2 linked regions of the Struthio camelus genome follow. The protein of the gene in region 2 purifies or fractionates together with the protein of the main gene of each other region. This does not show direct contact. Links are inferred from orthologs where the notes say so. Each region holds a gene or a part of one and is shown on either strand. Other genes may lie near its edges.

Evidence for each region.
Region 1: the proteins of TRAF7 (region 2) and MAP3K3 purify together in Homo sapiens (affinity purification with mass spectrometry; 5 studies listed by BioGRID and IntAct, with this or other methods). This does not show direct contact. The link is inferred for Struthio camelus from reciprocal best matches to the Homo sapiens genes TRAF7 and MAP3K3.

The regions. Positions count from the first base shown.
Region 1 is NC_090966.1:4,212,951-4,220,612, reverse strand, and holds the start of MAP3K3 (mitogen-activated protein kinase kinase kinase 3), read right to left. Parts: upstream 3,066-7,662; 5' UTR 2,804-3,065; coding exon 2,800-2,803; intron 1-2,799. UniProt on the Homo sapiens protein: Component of a protein kinase signal transduction cascade. Mediates activation of the NF-kappa-B, AP1 and DDIT3 transcriptional regulators.
Region 2 is NC_090956.1:1,805,012-1,812,876, forward strand, and holds the start of TRAF7 (E3 ubiquitin-protein ligase TRAF7), read right to left. Parts: upstream 3,123-7,865; 5' UTR 2,984-3,122; intron 2,296-2,983; exon of another isoform or gene 2,157-2,295; intron 1-2,156. Other genes in the region: RAB26 (ras-related protein Rab-26), read right to left, coding at 7,847-7,865. UniProt on the Homo sapiens protein: E3 ubiquitin and SUMO-protein ligase that plays a role in different biological processes such as innate immunity, inflammation or apoptosis. Potentiates MAP3K3-mediated activation of JUN/AP1 and DDIT3 transcriptional regulators.

The sequences.
Region 1 (7,662 bases), on a different chromosome or scaffold from region 2:
CAGCTTTCTGCTGCTAAAACATACTCTTCTATGATTTATCCTTACGTTGGGGAGGTAGGAAATGAAGGGGCATTTCTCTCATTCAGTGTAAAATGAAAGTCAACTACTGACCTGAGCTTGTGTATGGAAAAAATGTTTGTGTTTAGGTTTGCATTGTAATGGATTTAACCTTGAGAAGCATGAATGCTTCTTTATTTCCATCAAAATACAGGATTCCTACAGACTAACCTTAAAGCAGTATATGCAGCAGCATCACATTAATCACACAATGCAAAAGCTATTACAAACGAAAAAACAAGCAATTTTTGAAGCGCACTGAGAGACCCTGTTTTGCTAGGTCTCCAGTAGGTCTGGGAAACACAGTTCTGCTTTGTGCGGGAAAGATGTTGTCCAGGAAATGCTTTTCATGTTTTAAAAACTACACTCAAGGATTTTTATAACATCGATAAAGGGGAACTGCTACTCTCAGAGAAAGCTATTCCTCCGTATAAAGCATTTAGTTCAACAAATACATGGTTTATTACACTGACTTGCTCAGACCTGTGTATTTGCTATGGCAGAAATGGAAATAGTTTTGAAAAAAATCATGAAGTTCAAACCAACAGAGTAAAAGCATCTGCAGATTGGTAAAAACAGGAAGTCTGTAAAGCCCTATAAACCAGTATGTTATTTCATATAGCATGATAATAGAAGATGTGATGCCACTAATGTTTGTTTAAAAAGGCAGAGATGAACAAAAAAAAGGTTTCTTTGTTGTCTACCACCACAATAGCAAGACGACTGTTTGCACAAATAATTAGCAGATCCAGGGCCAACGAGTACATCTCATAAGTTAAGAAGAGAAACGGAGTACCTATTAAAGCTTTGAAAAAAAGTTATGGAGAAGTTTAATTTTCATTTGGTGGCATGTTGTGAAGGATGGAAACACTGGGTACACTTTGTAATAGAGTCTTAGCGACAACAAACTGTCTTTACCTCCTCCTCTTTTAGGGAACTGCAAATCACCTTTTTTAAATAGACTGAAAAGAAAAATCAGAGCTTCTCTATGAATCTGATACATGTAATACTTATTTGGGGTACCTCTTCTCACACAGAAATTCAAAAAAAAATTTCACAAAAAAAAAAGGTCAGGGTTTAAACTGGAACTAACCTGTAGGCTCCCTCCTCCTCCCTTCCCCCACAACGCACCGGGGCTGTCAGTGCAGCAAAACCCAAGAGCTGTGTTATGGGTAAGCGTGTGAGCCAAGGGAAGGAAGTGACATAGGCAGGAAAAAAGAGCAGATCGAGGGAAAGACTCAGCTGCAGCTGGGCCTGTAATGAGCATTTCGTTCTAGGTCTACCACAAACCTTCAGCCTAAACACAGCTTTCTCCTCTCTTTCCCGGATCTGTACACACTTCTCTGCGACAGAGGCAAACAGCAGTGTTTTAAACGCTGCGGAGGAGCTCTGTGTAGAAGCCTTCTGTAAAGTGCCAGAGAGCCACTGTCAGAAGGGTTCAGGGGCGTCAACGGAGTTATGACAAACTGCAACGCTAATACCTTACGGCTTTCCATTGCACGTATCTTTCAGATTAGTTTATCAAGAACAAGATGGAAGAGAAGTATAATAGGACATACCGCGCTCGCCATGATTCTGTATAAGATTCGATCACGACTGCGTACTGAATTTCGATAAGATCATTCCTGTCAGTAGTAACCTGTTTGCGATGGCACAACCGTCTATGAAAGGTCTGTGAGCTTTTCATTCTGCGCTCACATCTTTAGAAATAGGTGTACAATTGCCACTGCCAAGTGGAAATCCAACTCCTTCCTTCTCAACTATTGCAAGCTTAAGGACCATGGGGATGGTTCCTTTGGAGGAGATAACAGACTGAATAATACTATGCTTCTCTTCATAAGAGAAGCCTACTCTTAGATCTAGATCCATCTGTTGTATTCACAAAATCCAAGCAAATTACACACTTGTTCTAAAGGAGTTACTGTAGCTGGAATGGTAAGGGTACAAAGGGAATCGAGCTGCTTCGCTTCTGCTTTCAACAACATTCACGATACTTTATGGATTTACATTATAAATATAAGGATTACACATACAGACTAAATAATGAAGTAGAGCCTCAGGACACTAAACTCAGGGAGGGCACACAAAGAAAAATTGAAGCTGCAGCCCCCAAAGCAACGCAACTCTGCGCTCAAGATAACAGCAGTAATTCCGTTGCCAATATACAAGCATAAATACTAGGGTAAATATTTAATTCACCTAAACCAGTACACGAAGACCCTTCTTTAAATTAAAAAAGGAACCAGGTTACACTTCCCTCCCCCCCCCCCCAAAAGCACATAGGCCACATCATCTGAAAAAAATTAATCGTTACGGCAACTCCGAGAGCAATTTATTGGCCTGCGAAAGGAGTCCTGCGGCTGCCGTGCTCGTTTCCGAGCGTTAACTGCCCGCCTTGAGCGGGGCAACCGACGCCAGCGGAGGCTGCAGGCAGGAAAAACGCTGTTTTGACAGAATCCCAAGGCGCAACCGACGCCACGGGCAGGATTTCCACAGCCGGGTCGAGCACGCAACGCCGCGCCGCGGGACGAGCGGCCCCGGCCCCCGCCAGCCCCGCGACCCCGCCGAGCGATTTTACCTCAAAAAAATCCCCCCAGAAACCCCACAATCGGCGCGGCCGCTCGCTGCAGGGATTTCCCTCCCCCTTCCCCGCCCCGCGGCAACGAAGCCGCCGCAGCGGCCGGGCCCGGAGGACCCGAGCGGGCCTAGGTCCCCCCCTCCCGCCGCGGCCCCCGCTCTTACCCATGGCGGCGGGCCCGGGTCCGCGCCCGCGGGGCGGCGGCGCGTTGAGGTGCGGGGCTGTCACCGCCGCGGCTCCATGGCGGCCGGGCCGAGGGGGGAGGGCTCACGGCCGCCGCCACATTCCCAGGCCCGCGCCGCCGCCGTCTCCTTCCGGCGGGCCCCGCTCCGGCCGCCCCCGCGGCGGCGGGGAGGGGGGGGGAGGAAGGGGGGGGGCAGGGGCGGTCCCGGTCGCTCCCCGCCGCAGCCGCCGCCGCCGCCGCCACAGGGCGCCCGGGCCGCGAGCAAAACAAACCGCTCGGCGGCCGCCGCGCACCCGCCGCCGCCTGCCTGCCAATCACAGGGGCCGACCCGCCGCTGCCCGCCAATCGCGGCCGCCGAGTCACCCACCTGACCGCGCCGCCAGCCGCGGCGCCCGCCCCGCCCGCCGCCGCGCCGGCTGCCAATCAGGGGGGGCCCCGCTCGACGGGGCTGGCCCCGCCCCCTCCCGCCCGCCGGGAGGGCGGATAGCCTCGGCCACGCCCCTCCCCCGCCTGCCAATCAGGCTGACCGGCGGCGCGGCGGCTCCGCCCTCCGGCTGCTGGCCGGGTTCTAGAGCAGGGCGCGCGGCCGGGTTCTAGAGCCAGCTGCGACAGCGTTGCACCATTCGCCCTCCTGTCAGGGGCCGGGCTAGCACCAGTCACCCACCCTGCAAGAGGGCCCCCCCCCCCCTCTTTTCCTTCCTCCTCACCTCAGCTGCCTTTCACTCTGGAAAAAGCCAAATCCAGGGCACCTCCTCACCTTAAGCCACTATTTTGGGGGGATATCCAAGTCACCCAGAGGAAGGCAGGCGTCTCTTGTCCCTTGCTGCATTGCTTTCACTGTAGGTAGAGCTTAGCAAATAAAGTTTAAAAACAAAAGTAAGAGTAAAGCATCCCCCCCCCCCTTTTTTTTAATTCAAGAAAAAAAATAAAATAAAAGCCCCAAAACTTCCAGAATGAGCAAAGGGTGACAGTGGTTTTTTTCCCCTCTTCAAAGCAAAACAAACAAACAAAAAACCCCCCCAAAACCCTACACAACCCCAACAAACAACAGCATTAGACCAACTACCCAGGGCATCACACAAGACATGGTTATTCTTAGGGAGAGATGTTATCTGCTAGTAGGTGGTCTAGTAAAAGATCCAATTACCATAAACAAACCTTGATTTTGTCCCCAGGTCATCACAGGTATCCCACAGTTTGCCTGCACACTGCAGCAAGTGAAAGATGCAAGAGTCACAGAATAAATAGTTCTTCCATTTTTAAAGCCTTCAAAACCACTGCTTCAGCTTCTCCACAAGCATGATGTTAAGTGCTGCAATGGTACAGCATATCTCTTAAAAATTATCTGATGTGAAGGTGAAGTTCTGTGGTTTCAACTTGAAGGATTGAACCCTAGCCTAGAAGTTCATTATTTCCTCCCCTTTCATTAGGGGTTGATGTTAATGAGAGAGTGTTTGTGTTGTTAGGAGTGGAACTGCTGACCTGCTACATTCACTCGCTCACTGATGTGAGACACCTGACGACAATCTCCTGCAGTTTTAGCATTTGTCTGCCAGGCTGTCCTGGACACACAAACCATAAGCAGAATACATTCTTGCTAAATAGCTCTCCAGCGACTTTACAGTCTAAATTAATATAAACAACTTAGGGGCGGAGGGGGAAAACCAAAACACAATATAGCAGACCCACAACTCTCCTCCCCCTCAAAACCCCCAGCTTTCCTATCTTCCACTGCTCCCTACAAAGGGCAGCTTTTTAATAGACTTACTGATTTGCTCAGGCTTCTTGATTTTGATACACCAAAATAATTTCTTCCTACTCCAAGAATGACTTAAGAAAAAAAAAATCATCTAATAACTGGCATAAGCCCACTGGTTTTAACTGGTTGTGTGTTCCCCCCCCCCCCCTCGAAAAACACAGGTCATAATAGTCCCACTTCACCTTAAAAATCATCTAATGTAACCCTGTTGAATTTACCCAGTAATTCCCACCTCCAACTCCATAAGCTGTGTTCAATTCAAAGCACATCTTTTAAAATGACATCCAGGCATGATTCAAAGTCTTCAGCTGCCGGAGAGCCTGCAGTGTCCCTTTGTACACTCTACAATTGCTAATCACACACGACACCTTCATTGCAGTTTGCTCTTTCCTAGCCTCTGCTTCCTCTCCACCTGTGGGCTGGTGGGGGTTTTTAAGACTCTTTTCTGCAATTTAAGAAATATCTTGTTTCAAGAAGTCTCCTGCATAAGTAGTGGTGGGCCAGAGTTCAGTCATTTCTCAGCCTGCTCTCTGCTTGCAGTGAAAGAGGTGGAGTACTTGCATGTATCCTTGCCAAAATGCAGAGCCTTCTTAAAGGTCCTCTGAATCCTCCATGCTTTTCAAGCTCTGTAGCATTGCCCCGATTTCAGCAGACTAAACAGATGTAGAAAATTGAAGAGCAGTGACAGTGATGCTACGACACTAACAAGATAAGCATAATTTGGGGGTCTGGCTGAAGTACCATGCTCTGCTTGTTCCTACGGTAACAACTACAGCTAGGCATCTTTTGGAGCCTTTTAAAGATACAGGGGAGGGGAAAAAACAGTTTCTACTTCATATCAAGTACTTCCTTCTTAAAGAGGGGAGGGGAAAAAAAAAAAGAGAGAAAAATCTGCTGCTGCTTGCTTTTAAAGTCCAATCCTGCTTCTTTCAACACAAAAAGCAAGGATGCAAATGGACAGCAGAGGGTGGGTTTGTAATAAGCACAGCTCCTCTTCCCTGGCATTGCAAAGGCCACCTTGCTGCTAGGAAACCCACCTCAAGTAGCTGGCTTTACCAGCTGCTTTTCAACCTGGCAAATTTCTAGCAGCACATGAATTGTCTTCTAAATGTTTTTCCTTATATGCAACACAGCAACAACATTAAAGAGGTTGTATCAACTGGATAAGCCAGAAGGAGAAGGAAAATAGATGCAAAAGGAAAATTGCTCCGAAGAGTGGGAAAGAGAGGGAACCTAAATCCCACATCCCAGGAGGAATTTAGGATTTAGCCACAGACAACATCATCTATGATATCATTCACTTTGACTCTGTCTAGTTGGGATAACAAAAGGTCTTTGCCTCATCCTACTACATAGGTACAGAAATCTGGAAAGGAATGCTTATTTAGATCAACAGATCCAGCCTCTCTAAAGCAAGAGGTATGTACAAAGCCAAATAATTTAACTTTGAAGTTGGTCTTGCTTTGAGCAGGAAGTTGGACTAGATGATTCCATAGGCCCCACCTCAAAGTTTCCATCCTAAAACCAGTCTTTTTTCAGTGTTGATTGTAATGTTAATTATTACTAATACTAATAATGCTGTTAGTGTTTAGACTTCTCTTATTTTAGTGCTTCCTGTCTTATTGCTCTCACGTTAGAAAAAGATTTCTAGTTTTCCCATCTAGAACTAGTCATGTCCAGCTTATAGCCATTTGTTTTCATGTCAAGATTATCCTTTAACTTAAATAATCCTTTGCATTCCCTGCTGTTTTCTCACTAATACATCAAGATGATAATCATATCTCCCTTCAGGCTTCATTTTTAATAGCCAAGTAAACCACTCCCTCATTTCATAATACCAGCTTTGTATTTGTGGTATCTCCCTGAAAGCCTTTTTTGTCCCTGTTCCCCTTTGAATTCATATCCCCTGTATGACAGCATCACTATTCCCCTTAAACCAACTTTTCTACATGCTTTTTTCCACAGCCTCAGTGCAGCTCATTACTATCCTTTATCAACTAGTAAATACACCTTCCTTCCCTCAGTCACTTTCAAGTAATAAACTCTTAGCATTCTTGGCCAATTTCTTCTCGCCCCTAAATTCACTGCCTTGCACTTTCCATTGCTACATTTCATCTCATCTCTGTTTCTCACTCCAAGTCATCAAAAGACAAAGATATTCTAGTTCTCTTGCATTATGAAGCCTACCACTTTTGTTCATCAAATTTGATTATCGCACTCGTTTTTTGTGCCAAGGTCATTCCTGAAAGGTTTAGATGAGATTACCCATGGGACCAGTACTCGAGAAATTCGGTATTAATTCCCCATCGTACCTGCTCTGAGGTCAAAACACTCTATTGCCACCTCGCCCTTGGGTATTTTTGTCTGTCTTCTAGTTCTTACACGTCATCACAGAAAATTCTTAGTTGAAGTCCTGTTAAATGAGACCTACTGCCTCTCCTTTGTGTAGAAAGTTCGTTTACTTAAATCAAAAAGATAATAGACTAGCTAGTTGCAATCCATGACAGTGAGCCAGGAATTCCTGCCAGATGGTAGGAGAACGCCATCCTGGTAAAACTTGTTCTTTCTGTCTCCAAACACCTAGAAGCTTGGATTTCACTGAAGTTCTTTCTTCTTGTTGCTTTTAAAGAACTGGAAAAATAGAATTATTTGTCTTTAACATCTCATCGCTTCACCCACCTATCAAGCCTGATGTCCAAACCAGCAATTTTTATCTGCTGATTTGTAGTTCTATTCTCATCTTACAGACATGATCACAGCAGGCTATAGGCAATTATCAAGATAGGCAATTCTCCCCCTCTTTATATTTTTTCTAGACAAGCTGGGACCCCCTTCCTGATCTGAACTTAGAGTCACAGTCTCTACTTTGAAAGTTGAGCAGGCACTCTGTTTTTTAAACTGTGAGAAAAAGTGAACAATCATCTTTTTCACGTTTACTATCTACTTAATGTTAGGCTGATTTTGAGCACAAGAATCAAGCTATTCATTTTACCATAACATGGTACAAACTGATATTCTGTGGTTTTCCACATAGGTTGCCCACATCCTTTTAAAGCTACTGCTTTCCAGAACAGAAGCTTCATT
Region 2 (7,865 bases):
AGATCAGGCCCATCTCTTCTGCGGCCCCAGGCGGCCGCTACATCCTCCTGTCCCGACCCTATGAGAAAGGGGACATGGCTGGTACGTGCCTGATCTTGCCCACAGTAAAGGGGTACAGCCAGGGAAGGGAAGAAGAACAGCACAAAAACAGGAAGGGAAGAATTCTGAAAGACTGAACTTGTCCACATAATCAAAGCATTTAGATAGCAAAGCCAGGCAGGATTTTCTCTCAAGCGTTTCTCTCAAGGAGCCCTTCTCCTGGCTCAGATGGGCTCAACCGACACAATCTGAAAGGCAGGTCCAGCCATGCTTTAAGGAGCACCACAGTTATGGCTAGAGGGGGCTAGTAAGATCCCTTTTAATAGGCAAATGTTCAGCCCATGAGGTGACTAACCACCGAATGCAAACTGAAGTCACCTGAAGCTGCACAACGTTCAGGATCAATCCCAAATAAGGCACAGTCACTTCTGCTGCAGTTCCTTCCAGGGTAGAGCAGACACAAACACAATCATGCTGGGCTCAACAACTTCCCAGAGCCCAAGGCCCTCCTTACAGCTCTAGCTGGGCTGTTCTGTCTGGGGACCCCCAGGGAGGGAAAGGTTGACAGCGGAAGGGTTTCAGCCAGGTGACACAAACTCACTCGGGCAGCTCCATAAGTGGCTTAAGACCATCGAAGGCTGCACTGCCACAGAAAAGGGCAGTCGTGCGCCCAGCCCATCTCACCACGCGTTCCTGCTACCACCCTCATGCTGGCAAAGCTGCTGGTATTGCCACGTCATCCCACAAGTCAGGAAACCAAACTACCTGAAAATGTGAGGTTGGGGGTTCTTTTGTTGGGTTCAGTCAACTTAACACCATCACGAAAACTCACGTTTAGGTGTTATCTGTGAAGCTGTCTGCATTCCCTAACCGAATACTCTGGTCACTCCATTTGACCCAGGTTGCCCACTACTGCTTGGTAAAATTTAACCTCCCTCACTGGAGATCATTCCTTTCTGCAGGGCAGTTTAACCTGCAAGTGATCTCTTGCTGCATGCTGTAGCGCTCACCACTGAACAAAACAGCAAAGCTGGAGCTTTCTCCATCATCCTGGCTGGATTTACCACGGCCTTTCTCAGCCTTACTTGAGACAGCAGTGCCCAGGGTGCAGGGGACCCCAGGATTTGGAGAGGGACCTGGCAGACTGCGGGCCAGTTCCTGGATCCTACAGTTTTCTCCATGACCCTTAGCAGGTCCCCAGAACTCTTTGACTCTCCAGGCCCCAGGTGTGCAATGAGGACAGCGCTGTACGTTCTCTTGCCAATGCTGATGATCAGCCCTTTGGACTATTGGTTATTAGACATCTGTATGCTACTTAACACAACACAACTCCAATTTCTGGTAGTGCCTCCAGCACTATTGCCTTGCAATAGGAGAAAATACGGATTTATTTTAGCAGTGGCAAATGGATGCACGTAAAACAGATAGTAGGAGATCCCTGTCCCAGAGCTTCAACTGCAAGGAGCATGAGAAGGAGGCTAAGCAAATGCAACACTCAGGTGGCCAGGACCAGAAAAGCACTGACACCTCTCCACAGAAGGTTACCTTCACCACAATGCATTTTCCTGGAACCACCTCTTCCCTTCACACAGCTCCCAGGGAGCCATGTAAAGGGATGCTGTCACAGAAGTAATTGACTTTCTCATGCTGCTTTTGCTCAGCAAAGGCATTCTGGAACCATCCATCGCTCATACCGCCCTCTCCTCTACAAACAGACCAAAGAGTCACTACAGCTCTAAGCAGGAATCACTACCTCCACTGACAGGCAGACACTTGAAGGCAACATGCAACAGCTATTTAACAGGAACACTAACCACTTAAGATAGGGTGAAAAGAACATACCATCAGGGTAAAACTGTGCAAGAATTCAAAGGACGCAAATTAAAGTACTTGGGTTGAAACAAAGTGTTAGGCAACATTTTCAAAGTTGAAAAAACACACTGCTATGCCAGAGTTCCTCACAACACAGTTACCTCCCATAAAGAGCTACAATAACCTGGACCTGGCTTGCTACATATATATCAAATTCTGCTGACTTATGTACCAAGTTTTCTTCTCAGGCTCATGCACCCCCAGCAGACAGTCTGTCTGAGCCACTGTCTTTGATAGCACCTTACCTCAAAAGCAAGTCGAACTGAAAGAAAGTCCACACTTTCGGGCTTCACACAACTCAACAGGATCATGAGGTCAAAATCATGCATCAAATAGGAGAAAAGCGTTCGACAGCAAGTCTGTAAGAGGAACAGTGGCTGCAAGCTGGCAGGAGAATAAGGCAGAAGTAAAAAGGATGTTGAGATGAAAGGATGACAGCACAGTTTTACTGCCTGCTCTGAGCAGAGAGACGTGTAATCATCACGGGGCAGCTACAGAAATCTACCACCAAATGTCCCATATTGCATAAGATGCGGATCCAAAGCAGAAGGAAACGAGGTTACTCGGAGATCAAGAGAGAAGCACGAGCAACACGTGCTACGTGTCAGACAAGCAGTAGGACGGTCAGAGACAAAACCAGACGTGCCCTGCGACCAGGTGTATCGGACAGCACGGGCTGTGAAGGGAAGGCAGCCGAGGAAAAGCGAGACACGGACAGGATTTAGAGTGCAACGCGGGAGGAGCACGCCAGCTCCTCCGGGCGCTGGAAGCATCCCCCCGACGCTACACCGAGCTCAAAGATACATCAACACGGAAGGGCAGAGGGAGGAAGACAACACGGCGCTGCTGCCAAGCGGGCTGCGGCTCCCCGCTGCCCCAGGCGGGTTCTGGGGCTCCCGGCCAGCCGGGGGCAACTCCCGGAGCGGGGGCAACCGCCGGCCCCGCCGCCCCCCGGCCCCGCCGCCGCCTCCGCAGAGCCCCCGGCCCAGCGCCCCGCACCCCCGGCCCGGCCCTCAGGGCTCCCCTCGGCCCCCCGGGGCTCCCCTCGGCCCCGGCCCGGCCTCGCTCGCACCTGGTAGCGGCGGCGGCCGGAGCGCCGGTGCCCGGTCCCGGCACATCGCGGCCCCGGCCTGCTCCCCGCTCCGCTGGCGGCTCAGCTGCCTGCCCGCCCGGGCCGGAAGCCCCACGCCCCACGCTCCTCGGGATTTGTAGTCCCGCCCTCCAGCCTTCCACCGGCTCCTGCCGAGCCTCGGTGACGTCAGGACTACACTTCCCAGCAGCCCTCGCCGCGCCGCGCTGATTGGCGCGTCTCCGGTCAGTCTGTGCTACAAGCACTGTTGCTACTGGTCTCACTCTCCCTCCTTCAGGGGGCCAATCGGGCGGCGGAAGACCCCCACCACCTCGGGCCACGCTGCGCCGCGCGGCGCCATTGGAGCGAGGACGAGGCAGCCACCAATGAGCGCCGGGAGAGGTGGGCTGGCGATCACGCCAACTGCTCGCGATTGGCTGGGCCTGCAGGCAGCCTGCCCAATGGCGACGCGGAGGAGAGTATAAAGAGCGCAGCGAAGGCACGCCCCGGTCTTTCCAACCGCGAGGTGAGTGGGGTGGGTGGTGGCGGCGGGGCGGGAGCGGGGCGAGCCGGTGATGATCACTGACCTTCTGACACCTCGTCTGAGGGCGGCGGGCGGCCGCGGCCCCTGCTGACGCTCCGCGGCTGAGGCTCGAGGGAGCCGCGGCGGGGTCGGCCGGGCGGCGCGGCCCGCTCTCACCGCGCGGCCTTCTCTCTCCTCAGGGAGCGGCGGGAACCGGCTCGGACCGGCGGGCACCGGCCGCCGGCGGCCCGAGGGACGGCGAGGCGGCAGCGGTGACCGGCGCCGGGCCCTGCCTGAGCCCGCGGCGCGCTCGGGTAGCGGCGGCGACTCGTTCACGGAGTTAGCTGGTAAAACGCGGTGTTTCCGCCCTGTCTCCGGCTCGCAGCGCTGGGAAGCGGTGCGGAGCCACAGGCGGGGTGACTGCCCGCGCCTGTAAGTTACCTCAGGAAAGTTAGAGCCCTAGGGAACGCCCGAGCGGATTTCAAGGCAAGTGAAAGTGAGAAGCTGTGGCTGGAGTAACTGTTTCGTGGCCTTAAAAGAGTTTTTATTTTATGCGTAGAGTAGGCTGGGAGCTCCGGAGCAGAACAAGCGATGCAGCTCCACGTACAGCTTAAAAGTGCACTGGGTGAGAGGAGATCACTTCTGGGGTGTCTGTATCAGCTGCTGGCTTTGATCCTGTACAGCCTGGGGCTCAGGGCAGTTTCTAAACGCAAAGGAGTAGCTGCGGGACTGCCCAAAACACAAAGAGTCAAAAGCAATTCTTAGCAGTGAGCCCGATAGCTTAAGGCAACAGGAATGGAAGGTAGTGGGTGCAAAACCGTTGGTAAGTGTAAGAATTCATAGGTAGCACTTCTTGCAATACGTGTGGACCCTAGTACTAGACTGTTGTGTGGATACTTTATATCTGGGAGTCCTTGGTACTATCCTAGCTGTTTGGGGAACATAAGCTGCTCAGACACTGTTCTTTCGACGTTTTTGAATTAAGTTTAGCCTTGTAATCTTTCAATTATTTGCTGCTATGTCTCCGTTTTGGCTTCTGTATAAGGCTAATTTTACAGCTTCCAGTTTTAATAAAGTTGTCAAAAAAAACTTCTTTTGCTAAGCTTTTTGTTCATCAATCCCATAGGTGACATGTAATACTTCAGACTACCTCTGAGCCTTGCATTTGCGTACCTAGCACAGCATTTCTACTATTCCTACTTAATTTAAGAGAGCGAGAACATCTTAACATGTGCACTACAGCTTAACGGTAGTCTATTTTCATTTAATTCTGACTGCTTTCGTTGGAGCAGCTGAACCCATACTGATACTGGAAGAAGTTAGTCTAGATATGTTCAAGAATGAGCTGAACTGTTTGATTCAGTAGTTCAGGTGTGAGAGAATAATCAAAATTCCACTGGAGCCACAAAGTTTATTTAAAAAAAATTTTATTAACAGGAATGAAACGAGCTGTAAACAAGAGCCAGCAAAAACTAGAAGTGCTTGTAATGCTGAGTCCTTAGGCTTGTTTGAATGTACTAGCAATTCTCTATCACTTGGTGGCAGTAAAGGCCCATGTAAAAAAAAATGCCCAAAACAGTCTGAAGAGGAGCTTAAAGGCAAGGTTAGTATGCAGGCATTCTGAGACAAGTAGTATATATAGGGAGCTGGTAGCTGGGTAGCAGTGGGTGTTGAGTCTCAGGTGTATCACTGAGAAATACCACAAATACAGTTGGGATGTTTCTGATTTATTGAAGTTAGCTCCCAGTAGGCATATTTAGTTAAAGCCCTGCAAAGGGTGGCATTTAGATCTTTCCTATTTAAATGTTTTTTAATTGGTTTTGCTCCCACACTCGGGAAGGAAGGTAAAAGTTGTCAGCTTTTTTGTCAAGATGCGAGGCGGCTGCCCTGCTAGAAAGAGGAAAGGCAACTCTGATAGAAGTAGAATAGTAGAAGTATACTGCTGATTCTTTTTCCCTTCCAGTAGACTGCCTGTAGCTTTCAGGGTAGTGTGGCCATGCAGTGACTGGCATCTTAGGATGAGAGCTGCTGTTGCACAGCTAGGTTGACTCTCAGAAAATAAGGTGCTGTGAAGGCAGGCTTGGGGAACAAACAGCTCCATGATGTTTTAACTGCCTGATGACTCCTTTCCTGTGCATCTCTGCTGGCCTGGCCCTTGCACAGCTGTGTAAGCTGTGATACCAAAATACTGGTACTTTACAGTTGGGGCTTAGAGAAAAATTCCACTCGTGTTTTTTTTTTTTAAACTGCAGCCAGCAAGTTTTTGTTAAACAGCCCAGAAAGAGAATGGAGGGGGGTGTAATATAAGCAGCTTCGTGTTAGAGATGCTAACTAAGTAGCAGCTACAGGAGCACAGCAAAACTTACCAAAGCATGAAACAAATTTATCCAGATTACTGCTCACTTCTTGGTAGTGCTTGATTAACTTGCAAATCCTTTTCTGTGTTGTAATGTGCAAACAATTAATGAGGCCTTGTTAATGTGAAACTTGAAGAGGCCTGACTGCTGTTCTCCCAAAGGATATGCTTGCTGCTGCTAGCAGGGAGCAGGCACTGTCCAGTAATACACTCCTGGATATTCCTGCTATCCTAGCACATGCAGCAGGGATCTACTCTAGACTATTCACTGCAAATAACTGCTGTAGGAACAGTCTTTCAACCCATAATCCCCTAAACTTTTGGGAGAACTGCTGCTTACAGCTTCATCTGCACTTTTAATTTTTTGGTTTAAGAGACTTGCTTCTCCCTAAAAGCTATTTAAGAAAAAGTGTTATGTTCTAAGTAGGTTTATTTTAAGATTCCCTTCTCGTACTGTTACTGTGCTGGACTTGCCTGAAACAGTAGCTCTAAGTACCAGTTCTTTGTGCACTGCTCATTTTAATGTAGCTAAACGAGGAAAAGTGCAATTCTGAGGACTCCTTTGCCTCGTTGCCTGGCTGAATCCTGTTGGCCTCAAGCCCTCAGCAGCTGCAGAGAGACTTCCCTGCACTTAAGGAATGCCAGGTTGTAGCTCAAGTAAACACCCCAGGCAAAGCAAGGGGCAGGTATGTCTGAACTAACCACTGACAAAGCCAATGCTTTGCTGGCATCTGGGAAGGGTGAACGGGTGATTTATTGTGTAGCAGTCCATTTAAGGCGGTGCAGGCAGGCTCAATGGAATGGGTACCTGGATGTCATGCATGTGGAATTTGTAAATACCTGCAGCTTGAGAAAATTGCCAACGGCCAAACATTTCATCCACATTCAGATTTATACTTAGCGCTTAAAAGTGCCAAATGCCTAGCACAGAAATAAGGGGTGAGGATTCCACTGAAGAGTGCTGGCACAAGACTGTTAAACCTGTACAGTCAATGCTTACAGCATTCTCCTCAGCTTTCTTCAGTTAAAAGAGCTATCCCAAGAGAACCCTGAAGATAACAAAGCATTGTTGCAGTCTAAAAATACTATCACGCTTACAGTAAGGTAAGTAGAAGAAGCTGCAATACATTAGATTTCTTCTCAAAGTACTAGAAACTGCAGTAATGGCGAACCAATGTCTTATCAAACAGATAAACAGTCAGGAATTCTCTGTACAACAGATATATTTGCAGGAGCTTACTCAAACAGACAGCTAAGCTCTGCAGGGAAAAGGAGAAATCTTCATCAAGGAAGGTATGTTACAACACACAAAGGACTTACATAAGCAATTACAAAAATGGTTGCCTTGAAAACAAAGCTTTCCTATGTGCCACAGGCCAAGAAGTCTGACTAGGTGAATCCCAGGTATATGGGAGAAGAAAACTGAATTCAAGCTATTTTCTTACTCAGTTGTTTTGTGAGGAGAAGGCATTCTCCTTGGTCACGCAATACTTAACTTTTCACTGCACTGTATTAACTTTAAAGAACTCTCACACTGCTCCTTGCTGAGTATTATCCCCGCTGATTTGGTGGAGAAGCAGATCGGTCTAATGACTGCCCGTGGCCCTGGAAGAGTTCTGACTTATGGCAAGGTCGGAGCCTACGCAAGTCTCTCAGGAAAGGCAACTACGAGCAACACAGGAGCGGGATGGCCTGCCGCAACTGGTGTGGGAAAGGCCTGTTTCCCTGGGGGAACCCAAAGCGCTCGCAGCGTGTGACAAAACGCCTCGGGGGGCTCGGAGAGCAGTGCTTGGAACGTGCTGCAGCACGGCCAGCATCAGGGCTGGCTGGAAAGAGCTTTTTCTGCTACTGCTTTCATTCCACGTGTCTCAGCTCACCTTTTATGCAGATACAGACACAACAGACAGACATGCACACACTGTCCACGAGGAGAGAGCGCGGCACATGAACACTTGGCATGAGTCTCTGTACAAATGCACCAAGCACATTAGGATCTGCAGCAGCCC